Linked DNA regions of Caenorhabditis elegans. The protein of the gene in region 1 interacts with the protein of each later gene in a biochemical or structural test. Each region holds a gene or a part of one and is shown in the gene's direction. Other genes may lie near its edges.

What was found.
Region 2: the proteins of pck-2 (region 1) and ung-1 form a complex in vitro, tested with the Caenorhabditis elegans proteins (one large-scale study listed by BioGRID).

The regions. Positions count from the first base shown.
Region 1 is NC_003279.8:7,864,222-7,872,163, forward strand, and holds pck-2 (Phosphoenolpyruvate carboxykinase [GTP]), read left to right. Parts: upstream 1-1,914; 5' UTR 1,915-2,179; coding exon 2,180-2,215; intron 2,216-2,262; coding exon 2,263-2,367; intron 2,368-3,355; coding exon of another isoform or gene 3,356-3,697; intron 3,698-4,874; exon of another isoform or gene 4,875-5,679; coding exon of another isoform or gene 5,680-5,745; coding exon 5,746-6,911; intron 6,912-6,956; coding exon 6,957-7,263; intron 7,264-7,311; coding exon 7,312-7,662; 3' UTR 7,663-7,879; downstream 7,880-7,942. Other genes in the region: R11A5.6 (uncharacterized protein), read right to left, coding at 3,356-3,697.
Region 2 is NC_003281.10:11,970,886-11,975,737, reverse strand, and holds ung-1 (Uracil-DNA glycosylase), read left to right. Parts: upstream 1-1,647; 5' UTR 1,648-1,648; coding exon 1,649-1,707; intron 1,708-1,752; coding exon 1,753-2,425; intron 2,426-3,998; coding exon 3,999-4,115; 3' UTR 4,116-4,271; downstream 4,272-4,852. Other genes in the region: Y56A3A.31 (SOSS complex subunit A homolog), read right to left, coding at 1,212-1,232; Y56A3A.30 (SP-RING-type domain-containing protein), read left to right, coding at 1-106, 1,479-1,534; Y56A3A.28 (C2H2-type domain-containing protein), read left to right, coding at 4,380-4,472. UniProt on the Caenorhabditis elegans protein: Excises uracil residues from the DNA which can arise as a result of misincorporation of dUMP residues by DNA polymerase or due to deamination of cytosine.

The DNA.
Region 1 (7,942 bases):
ATAGATAAGATTTGTAAGTTTTTTTTGCATTTCCTTTGTTTGAAGACACAAAGAAAAATACCGTATTCTTAAAACTTTGAAACTTTTAGAAATATATATGAAACACTAGTGTTGTGTATTGAGCTATTTAATATTTTAGCTAGTTTGTAAAACACTTTGTAAAATATATTGAAATCACTTAATTCTGCATTTTTTGTATAAAATGTAACTTTTATTATACGTTTCGAGATCTCAGTCAGCATCTATAGTCTTCGATAATATTGCTCATTCTTGGGAACTAGCAAAGTATGTAGTTTCATCATTTGACTACAATACTCAAAACATGCCTAGTTCTGCCACGTCACAATGGCAGATGGTCGTAAGTGAAAAGAGAATGCAACATTACGTAGTTGCAGTCAACGGGAAGATATGACGTCATTTGTCTGGAAATGATGGATTGTGTGGAAAGAGGTCAGGAAAAAGGGGGAGATATCTGGCGGTTTATGGGTGCATATATAACAGAAGAGTTACGACTGGAAGATCAAAGACTGTAAAGGGCCTTTTAAGTTGTATAATTGCTACTGGAGAAAATTGTTTCCACTACTCTTATGTTAAAATGATCATAACAAATCTTTTTTTTTGAAACTTTTTTCACTGTTAAAAGGTGGCAAATACTCAGTACCACTATTTTTGAAATTGTCCAAAAACACTGCCTTCTGCATGTGTTATTTTTTTAAATCAAAAAATAAATCATTCTAGCAAATTTGGAACTTTGTCAAAACGAAATATGGAAAATTTTGAAACATTTATAACAAATGTGAAGTCTTAAATTATGTTATTCGGTTATATATGAGTAAATGTTCCAATTTTTAAAAATTAATATCTGGCTTCAAACTAACTTTTTCAAAAATTCCCGTAACCATTTTGTAGCAAATTTTGTGTTCTGTCAAAATTTGAAAATAAAATTGAAAAAGGTTTCATATCCGCTGAGTTCAAGCAGAAAAAGTGGATTTTCAGTCATACCTTTTAGTGCACAATTTGAGACCAATTGTGTTTTGAACATTCGAACTGGAGAAAAAAACAAACTTTCCACTTTTCTATAATATCTTATCAATTTTCAAAGTTTTTTTCTTAAAGAACATTAACTTTAATAAATTGGAGTCACAAAAATGGATGTACTCCTGGGTCATAGTGATGACATAAAAAGTGTGTGTTTTATTTTTCACTGCTACGAAATTAAAGGCACATTTATGCAAAATTGTCTTGATGAGCGTTCAGTCTTTTTTTAGAGTGCCTGTGAAAAATTTGTGGAGATCATACGTAGATCACAATTAATTTGAGGAAAATAAACAGAAATTCAACATTGGAGGGAAATTTAATTGTGATCTACGCGCGATCTACTCAATGTTTTCACAGAAACTCTCAAAATAAAGGCTAAACGCGCGGCAAGACCATTTTGCGTAAATGTGCGGACATTCAGTTCAGTTATTAATAATATATATTTTTATTTCTCTCGAACACTTCCAACGGTAATATTTGGCGCCAAAATAGTTCTGTTTGTTTTTTTGTTCTTTCAAAATACATAAACAAACGAACACTTTTCTGACCAAAATAACAAATGGCAATTTCATTCAATTGTTGCGGAAGCAGCCATTGCCATTTTTCGCTTTTAGTTTTTTTCATAAATATATTCCTGTGTTTTGGCGTTCCAAAGTTTTAAAAATGTGAACAACCTTTTTTCAAACTTAATAAGTTAGTTTAATATGTATTAAATTGTTTAGAGGTTCATCTTCTTTGTTACCTTCATTTTTTTTTCAAATTTTAATTTCCAAAAGCACCAGACCATTGAACACTCATTTGATTAAATCGAACAATGTTTGTCCTTCTTTCATTTTTTGCCCTTTCTCCATCATTATCCCTCTCTTCTTTTTACAGTCACACCACCATCGAGCACGCCGTATACACAACATACATTGAACATCATCGTTCAAAAACAACAGTTGGGCGGAGTTAACGCTGAGAGAGGCATCTGGTGACCAGGCTTCGTCTCTTCTTTCCGTGTGCTCTTAAACCACCTGCGTCTCTTTGGGGCCATTCTCTCCTGGCGGCCACTGATACCCATCCCGTCCATCCCTGCCATCTTCTTATTCTTCTCATTCACACCGCAACCAAAGTTTCGGCACAGTCGGTGTAGAGAATCATGTCTGTTGATCCAAACCTTCTTACTCCTTACAAGGTAATATTTTTTATTTATGTTCTTGCCTAATATATGTATTGTTTTAGAATACCGGAGCTGCCAACGCATCTCTCCGTCAGATCTCTGAAGATGCTTTCTACGTTGTCAATGAGGTCGTCATGAAGCGTCTTGGACATGTTCCGATTCTCAAGGTAATTTTTGAAAGTTCCGAAAAGAAAGCAATTGAAAGTGTTTACACTTTTAAATTGTTATAATGGCAACGAGTATAACACTTGAACAAACAAAATGATAAAATTGGGTGGAAAGTACAGAAAATCATTAAAATTTATTTCGATACATGTACACAAATGTGTTGATTCTAGAAATTGTGATGAATTGGATTTTGATCAAAAACCATGTGAGATGGTATCGAAAAAGAAAATTGAAATAAGAAATCACTGAAAAGATTATGTTCTAAACTTTTAATATCGTTTCTTGATTTTCCAAAAAACTTTCAATAATTGTTTCGTTCTGAAAATTGCTTCTGATTTCATTCCACCAGGCAACAATACAAAAGGGACGAACAAAAACCAAATATTTGCTAATAAGATTTTATTCCATTGCTTTTCTTTTCTTCTTTCCAATATTTTCTTCTTCACAATAAACAAACTATTGTGTGTAGTGGTAGAGACCGAAGACGGTCTGCGTTTTAGAGGCCAAAAGAGCGATCTTGAAACCAATTACAAAGCAATAAGAAGGAGGAGGAGGAGGAGGTGATCTCTTATCACTTATCACTGATTGACTCGCTGATATCATATCACACCACGAGGACAGAGACGGGGTTTTCCAAACGGCGATTCTCGAACAGCGCAAAGTACGCACTTAGATCTTCTACGACTAGGAACCATAGAATATTCCAGAAAAGATTCAAGAAACGAGAGCGCACAAAAATGTGAGGGAGGGATTGGCACGCGCCTTGCTTTTTCAAATGGAAAGTGGCTTTTTCAAGCAGGAAAGGGTCCTCTTGTACAGCATCCGAGAGGGTTGTTTGTTGAGAGTAGCCAACGAAAAACTAAAAATTTGTCTCAAGGGAAAAATATTTATTTGGGAATAATTTTATATGCTGTCGTATCTACATAAGTTTACTATAGTTTTGGAAAAAATTCACTATCAAGCAATTTCAGCATATAATATTTTTTTTTAAATAATGGAAACAAGTAGTTCTTTCCGTTCTTTCAAAAATTTCAAAGATAGTAAATTTTGTCGAAATTTAAAGTTCAAAGTCTCAGGCTCTTGTGGCTTATGAGCTCCCTTCTTTTTTCGAAACTTCTTGATATCTACACGTGGTTGTTTGCAACCTTCTCCATCTTCTCCTCCCCGTGTCTGCGTGCAATTCGGCACAAGTGCCGGGGAGTCGGCTGGAGCAGTTGGTGTCCCTGTCCCTGACAACTCGGCCCGTAACTGCCTCTGGTCAATCGATCTAGGAGTGCCTGTGAGAGAACGAGATGAAAAAAAAACTAAAAATAACCAAGAGAAATACATAAACAAATTTTTTTCCCAGCATGAAAGATTCTCGTGCAGAGGAACCAGTTTCGGATAGCATTGAAATGGAAAGGTCAATGTTCAAATGATACGATAGACGGTTGTTGGTGTAGGGCAGAAACTGCAAGGACCGGTACAAAATTCGAACTTTGCTTCGAGCGACCTTGTTAGTTTATTGGGGTAAAGGAAATAAATAATTTAAGCTACAATAACACTACTAATAGAGACTTTATTTTGCTGCAAAATCATTACTTATATATAAAAAAATAATTCCGTTTGTTCCATAGTTTGTAGTCTATGTAGTCTTTGTAGTCTGTGACGTCACACCCAAAGTCACTGAGAATTGTGGGCGGGGTCTGTCATCCTTCGTGGTGAGACCCATCGTGGCGAGACCCATCGTGGCGAAACCCATCGTGGTGAGACCCATCGTGGTGAGACCCATCGTGGCGATACCCATCGTGGCCAGACCCATCGTGGTGAGACCCGTCGTGGCGAGACCCATCGTGGTGAGACCCATCGTGGTGAGACCCACCGTGGTGAGACCCGTCGTGGTGAGACCCATCGTGGTAAGACCCATCGTGGTGAAACCCATCGTGGCGAGACCCACCGTGATGAGACCCGTCGTGGCGAGACCCATCGTGGTGAGACCCACCGTGGTGAGACCCGTCGTGGTGAGACCCACCGTGGTGAGACCCGTCGTGGTGAGACCCACCGTGGTAAGACCCAAAATTTTGGCGGGAAATTTAAATTTTCTGTGAAAAATATTTTGGCGGGAAATTTAAATTTTCTGTGAAAAATATTTTGGCGGGAAATTTAAATTTTCTGAGAAAAATATTTTGGAGGGAAATTTAAATTTTCTGTGAAAAATATTTTGGCGGGAAATTTAAATTTTCTGAGAAAAATTTTTTGGCGGGAAATTTAAATATTCTGTGAAAAATATTTTTGCGGGAAATTGAAATTTTCTGAAAATTCTAAAATTCTGGAAATCTAGAATCTTCTGGAAATTTCGAAAAAATTCTCGAATGTTCCAGAACTTTCTAGAAAAATCGAGAAAATTCTGGAATGTTCCAGAACTTTCTAGTAAAATCGAAGAAAATTCTGGAATGTTCCAGAACTCCTAGAAAAATCGAGAAAATTCTGGAATGTTCCAGAACTTTCTAGAAAAATTGGGAAAGTTCTGGAATGTTCCAGAACTTTCTAGAAAAATCGAGAAAATTCTGGAATGTTCCAGAACTTTCTAGAACAATTGGGAAAGTTCTGGAATGTTCCAGAACTTTCTAGAAAAATCGAGAAAATTCTGGAATGTTCCAGAACTTTCTAGAAAAATTGGGAAAAGTCTGGAATGTTCCAGAACTTTCTAGAAAAATCGAGAAAATTCTGGAATGTTCCAGAACTTTCTAGAAAAATTGGGAAAATTCTGGAATGTTCCAGAACTTTCTAGAAAAATCGAGAAAATTCTGGAATGTTCCAGAACTTTCTAGAAAAATTGGGAAAAGTCTGGAATGTTCCAGAACTTTCTAGAAAAATCGAGAAAATTCTGGAATGTTCCAGAACTTTCTAGAAAAATCGAGAAAATTCTGGAATGTTCCGAAAAATTGAGCTTAGAGCTTTAGAAGAGGTAGTTATTTGGGAGTTGATGGGGGATCAAGTCAAGGTACTGTAGTGGTACTATAGGGGTACTGTAGGTATACGGTAGGGTTACTGTAGTTTTGGAAAATTTGACTTTTTGTCCTTTGAAGAGATATTGGGTTAGGAGTTGGTGGAGGATAATGTCAAGGTACTGTAGTGGTATTGTAAGGTTACTGTCTTGGCCAAAAAGTAACAGAAAGTTTTCATACTGTCTGTGAATTTTTGAAACATGCATGTCGTAGAAAAATACATACATGTAACAGTGCCAGTAAACCGCGTTTTAAGTGTTTCAAGTTTTTTTCATGATGAGAAATTTTTTGAGTGATTGAAGGTATGTGTGTCAAATACTTTTAATGGTGCCAGTCGTTGCCCGCGCCGTAGGCGCAGTCAGCGGCTGGTATATATATAATTTTTTTCAGGGAGACTTCCATCTTCTGCCAGCCAAGGTGCAACGTTTCATCGCCGAGAAGGCCGAGTTGATGCGTCCACGTGGAATCTTCATCTGCGACGGATCTCAACATGAAGCTGATGAACTTATCGACAAGCTCATCGAGCGTGGAATGCTCTCCAAACTCGAAGCATATGAGAATAACTACATCTGCAGAACCGATCCAAAGGATGTTGCTCGTGTCGAATCGAAGACCTGGATGGTCACCAAGAACAAGTATGACACTGTCACACACACCAAGGAAGGAGTTGAACCAATCATGGGACATTGGCTTGCTCCAGAGGATCTTGCCACCGAGCTTGATAGCCGTTTCCCAGGATGTATGGCTGGACGTATTATGTATGTCATTCCATTCTCTATGGGACCAGTTGGAGGACCACTTTCCAAGATCGGAATTCAATTGACTGATTCCAACTACGTCGTGCTTTCAATGAGAATCATGACTCGTGTCAACAATGATGTTTGGGATGCTCTTGGAAATCAAGATTTTGTTCGTTGTATCCACTCTGTTGGACTTCCACGTCCAGTCAAGCAACGTGTTATCAACCATTGGCCATGCAATCCAGAACGTGTTCTCATTGCTCATAGACCACCAGAGCGTGAAATCTGGTCTTTTGGATCCGGTTATGGAGGAAATTCCCTTCTTGGTAAGAAGTGCTTTGCTCTTCGTATCGCTTCCAACATTGCCAAGGATGAAGGATGGATGGCCGAGCACATGCTTATTATGGGAGTAACACGTCCATGTGGTCGCGAACACTTCATCGCTGCTGCTTTCCCATCTGCTTGCGGAAAGACCAACTTGGCTATGCTTGAGCCAACTCTTCCAGGATGGAAAGTCCGTTGTGTCGGAGATGATATTGCATGGATGAAGTTCGGAGAGGACGGAAGACTCTACGCTATCAACCCAGAAGCAGGTTTCTTTGGAGTTGCTCCAGGAACCTCAAACAAAACTAACCCAATGGCTGTTGCTACATTCCAAAAGAACTCGATCTTCACCAACGTCGCCGAGACTGCTAACGGAGAGTACTTCTGGGAGGGACTTGAGGATGAGATCGCCGACAAGAACGTCGATATCACCACATGGCTTGGAGAGAAGTGGCACATTGGAGAGCCAGGAGTTGCTGCTCATCCAAACTCGTAAGTTAACATTGAAAATTATAGTTTGTAAAAGTAATTTTTCAGGCGTTTCGCTGCTCCAGCCAATCAATGTCCAATCATTCATCCAGACTGGGAAAGCCCACAAGGAGTTCCAATTGAGGCTATCATTTTCGGAGGACGTCGTCCACAGGGAGTACCACTCATTTATGAGACTAACTCATGGGAACACGGAGTCTTCACTGGATCATGCCTCAAGTCAGAAGCTACCGCTGCGGCCGAATTCACTGGAAAGACTGTTATGCACGATCCAATGGCCATGCGTCCATTCATGGGATACAATTTTGGAAAGTATCTCCAACATTGGTTGGATCTAAAAACCGACTCCAGAAAGGTAATCGATTTTTTCATATTTTCAGTAATTTAATGTTAATATTTTTAGATGCCAAAGATCTACCACGTCAATTGGTTCCGTAAGGATTCAAATAACAAGTTCTTGTGGCCAGGATTCGGAGACAACATCCGTGTTATCGACTGGATCATCAGAAGACTCGATGGAGAACAAGAAATCGGAGTGGAAACCCCAATCGGAACAGTTCCAGCCAAGGGATCCATCAACTTGGAAGGACTCGGAGAGGTCAACTGGGATGAGCTCATGTCTGTGCCAGCCGACTACTGGAAACAAGATGCTCAAGAAATCCGCAAGTTCCTCGATGAACAAGTTGGAGAAGATCTTCCAGAACCAGTTCGTGCCGAGATGGATGCTCAAGAGAAGAGAGTCCAGACATTGTAATTATTATACCCGTTTTTCGCGCATTATTTCACGGTTATCTAACAGTTTTCTGTTTGTTTTATTTTTTATTTGAAACGCATCTATTGTTCCTATGTGAGTAGTGCCTTTTCTTCGCTTCACAACAATGTTTTATTTTTCTCAATGTGTATAGTTACATGATTTTGGTAAAGTAAAAATGAATTGTTTTATGGAAAAATCAGTATCCGAATTTCTCATTTTATAATTTTTATTTTGAAAAAACTAGAAGGTCACTAACAAGATAATAACTTAGGAAAAAACC
Region 2 (4,852 bases), on another chromosome or scaffold:
TTCGGCAATGGATATGGGTACGGCGGTGGAACCACTGGATACATGGATAATCTTGTTGGCAGAGGGTTTGACACGGTTTCTCAGCAGCCTGGATTTCAGAATCAAGGTACATTTTTTAAAAGGAATTGAGAAAAATGTGCCAAAAAATTTTAAAGGTGGACTACGCTTTGTGGGGAAATTGCTTTAAAATACGCCTATGGTACCACAATGACCGAATATCATGATTAAAAAATTCAAAAATTTTTTCTAAATTTTATATGATTTTTTGAAAATTGGAAAAATCACAGTTTTCCCCTAATTCCTATTTGAATTACCGCCAATTGAATTTGTTCGATGGGGCGCGCTTGCACGTTTTTAAATTTATTTATTTTATTTTTTGTTATTTTCCACCGATTTTTAATGTTTTCGGTGTATTTTTGCTCGAATTTTAGAGAAAAAGTCAAAATAAATGCAAATTTTCGATTAAAAAGTGCGCTTACAGGCGTAAATCAGTGAAATTAATTAATTCAGGTTCGAAATCGTTTAAAAGCGTTACTTTTTCATTTTTACGCCTGTAAGCGTGCTTTTTAATCGAAAATTTGCATTTATGTTGATTTTTTCTCTAAAATTCGAGCAAAAATACACCGAAAACATTAAAAATCGGTGGAAAATAACAAAAAATAAAATAAATAAATTTAAAAACGTGCAAGCGCGCCCCATCGAACAAATTCAATTGGCGGTAATTCAAATAGGAATTAGGGGAAAACTGTGATTTTTTCAATTTTCAAAAAATCATATAAAATTTATAAATTTTTTTTTGAATTTTTTATCATGAAATTCGGTCATTGTGGTACCATAGGCATGTTTTAAAGCAATTTCCCCACTAGCGCTACCCCACCTTTAAAGGAATTGTGAAAATTGTGAAAAAAAAAATCAAAATTTCGAAAAAAAAAGCGCTAATTTTAACTAAAATCTCTAATTTTGGCCACTTTTCCGTGCTGCAGCGTCCGAAAGTGCACTTTTTTTGAATTATTATTCTTATTATTATACATTAAAAACCCCCGTACTCCTCCAATAACGCCAATATTATCGACCATCTGGACGTGACCGCGTGCAACCACGGCCTAGCTGCCGCCACCCCATTCAAACGAGACATTTCGGCGGGAGAGTCCTTTTTTTCGATAATTCGGATTTTTTTGTCTGTTTCAAGTAATTTTCGCCATAAAAATTACCATTTTCTTCTTCGGTGCCATTTCTAATGATTTTCCAGTGCGTTTTGAGTCTGAAAGTTTGAAAATAAGAGTTTTTGCACAAAAATGTGTGAGAAAAGTTCAAGAAAATCGTCGAAAAATTCAATAAATTAATTTTAAAATTTAAAAAAAAATTAATTTTTTTTAAAAATCAATTCTGTGCATACACCGCCACGCAAAAGTGCACACAATTACCTACCGTAGTCAATGCGAAATTAAATGATTTTTATCGATTTTCTTCATTTTCAGGTTACGAATTCACCGGTTTGCCTGCAAATAACTCGAATAATTTCCCATTTTTGTGATTTAATTTTTCAAATATCCTTATCTATGCCCTCAGGTTTATTTTATCTCATTTCCACTCGTGTTTTTTGAATAAAAATTCTTTTTTTTTCTTCTAGATTTCCGTTTATTTCAGAATGTCGAAGACTGTAAGAATTCCGGACATGTTCCTCAAAGCATCCGCTGCCTCTAAACGGTATTTCCCGCTCTGAAAATTCAAAAAAAACCACCGAAATTTCAGAAAATCCGCTTCAAATACTGAAAATATTCCGGAAAAAGTTCCCGCGGGCAATGAAAATCAAGAAGTCAAGAAAATGAAGTTACAAGCACCAGAACCAACTGAAATTCTGCTAAAATCCCTGCTAACCGGTGAATCTTGGTCGAAACTTTTAGAGGAGGAATTCAAAAAAGGCTATATTTCGAAAATCGAGAAATTCTTGAATTCCGAAGTGAACAAGGGCAAGCAAGTGTTCCCACCGCCCACACAAATTTTCACAACATTCAATCTTCTGCCATTCGACGAGATCAGCGTGGTTATCATCGGTCAAGACCCCTATCACGATGATAATCAAGCTCACGGGCTCTCCTTCAGTGTTCAGAAGGGTGTAAAACCGCCGCCATCGCTGAAAAATATCTATAAAGAGCTTGAATCCGATATTGAAGGCTTCAAGCGGCCCGATCACGGGAACCTGCTCGGCTGGACACGTCAGGGAGTGTTCATGTTGAATGCCACGTTGACGGTTCGGGCTCACGAGGCGAATTCTCACGCGAAGATCGGCTGGCAAACTTTCACGGACACTGTTATTCGGATTATTTCGCGACAATCGGAGAAGCCTATTGTCTTTTTGTTATGGGGAGGATTTGCTCATAAGAAGGAAGAACTGATTGATACAAAGAAACATGTAGTTATAAAGGTCATTATTTTTCTGGATAGAATTCTGGAAAAAGCATGGAAAAGTTGATTTTAAGATTTTTTCCCTAAAAATGTGTTGGAAAACGACAAAAATTGCCGATTTTCACCTGTAAAATCGGAAATTTTGCGATTTTGCTGGAAATTTAGGTAAAAATTGCCAGAAAACCTAGAAAAAAATTCAAGATTTTCCCATAAAATGGTAGTAAAATTGTCACTTTTCAGTTAAAAACTAAAAAAAATTCAGGGGTTTGCTCTAAATTTTCCCCTGATTCCGAATATCTATGTGAAAAATTGGAAAAAAACGTCCCTTTTATTGTAGAAAATCGACGATTTTCAAACGCGCGCCAGAGAGCCAGAGACGATTCTCATTGGAACGCACCGTGTTGTGTCGATTTACGAGATTTGTTTTTTTAAAGCCAATTTTTTGCTGTTTCTTCATTTTTTTTTTCGGTTTTTTGAACATTTTATTATTATAAAACTCGCAAAATTTCCTTATTTTTAGATGGAAAATGATTTAAATTCAGAGAAAAAAAACCGAATTTTTTCGATTTTTTCAAAGAAAATCGGAATTTTTCTTCTTTTTTTTTTTAAATAGAAAACCGGAATTTTTCTATTTCTTTCCAGAGAAAATCGGAATTTTTTCGTTTTTTTTAATTTTTTTCAAAGAAAATCGGAATTTTTTCGATTTTTTTTTTGATTTTTTAGAGAAAATCGGAATATTTTCGATTTTTTCAAAGAAAATCGGAATTTTTTCCATTTTTTCATATAGTTTTCCAGAGAAAATCGGAATTTTTTCCATTTTTTAAAAGAGAAAATCGGAATTTTTTTGAAATTTTTAAGGAGAAAATTAGAATTTTTTCGATTTTTTAAAAGAGAAAATTAAAATTTTTTTTTTCTATTTTTTCAGAGAAAAATCGAAAAACAGAAATTGTTTTTTAATCGAAAAAAAAATTCGAGAAAATTTCTATTTAAAAACTCCAATTTTCTCTTTAAAAACTCAAAAAATTCCGATTTTCTCTGAATTTACCTCCTTTTTCATCTAAAAATAGGAAATTTTCGCGGTTTTCTGATCATAAAATGTTCAATTGGCTCGAAAATACACAATTTTCAACGAAAAAAACCGATAAAAATGAATAAAAAGCTGAAAGCTGGCTCGTAAATCGGCACAAGACACAGCGCGCTTCAATGTCTGGCGCGCGTTTGAAAATCGTCGATTTTCTACAATAAAAGGGACTTTTTTTTCCAATTTTTCACATAGATATTTTAAACAAGGAGCAAATTTGGAGCAAAACCTGGAGAATCTTGTTTTTTTTTTTGGTTTTTAACTGAAAATTGACAATTTTACTACAATTTTGTGGGAAATTCTTGAATTTTTTAAAGTTTTTCTGGCAATTTTTGACATTTTCCACCAAAATTTAAATTAATTTCAAAGGGAAAAATTGATTGGTTTCAGACGTGGAAAATCGCAAAATTTTTGATTTTTGTGAAAAAAAAAACCTATTTTTTAGCGTATTTTAAAAATATTTCCACTAAACTCAAATTTAATTTTTTAAAAAATTTTAAAAAATTTCCAGACCGCCCATCCGTCTCCGCTGAGTGCTCGCAAGTGGTGGGGATGCAAATGCTTCTCGAAATGCAACACGGAGCTCGAAAATTCCGGTCGAAACCCGATTAATTGGGCGGATTTATGAATAAATTCTCCTGTCGAACACCCTGCGTCTCTTCATCTCACACACTCTCTCGCCACTCACTGAAGAACTCTGTTATTTATCGATTTTTCTATTTTCTCTTCATTTTTCCTCATTTTTTCCTCATTTTTTCGGTTTTTCATCATAAAAATTCGATTTTCTGGCCATTTTTTTGTTCAATTTCCAATTTTTCATTCGTTTCAACGATTTTTAAATGCTTTTCACGGAAATTGCAGCGAAAAATTGTTTTTTTAACAGAAAAAAAGAATGCGGCGACAAAAAACCGAAGAGGAACGGAGCTGGACTTCAATTTCTCGGCATTTTTTATGCCTTGAATGTAGAAAATATTTCCGGAATAAGGTAGAGAAGATAATATTCTAATTAAATCGCAGAAAATATATTAAAAATTGAAAAAAAAAAACCGATTTTTCCCAAAAAATATATTAAAAAACCGAAAAAATTCCAATTTCTTCTTTAAAAAAATTTAAAAACATTGAAAAATGCTAATTTTTCTTATAAAAAACGAGAAAATTCCGATTTTTCTCTAAAAATATATTAAAAATTGAAATTATTCCGATTTTTCAGTAAAAATATCAAAAAATCAGATTTTTCTCTAAAAATACATTAAAAAATCAGATTTTTCTCTAAAAATACATTAAAAAATCCGTTTTTTTTTTAAATTTATATTAAAAATCGAAAAATTCCGATTTTTCTCTTTAAAAAATCGAAAAAATTGCAAT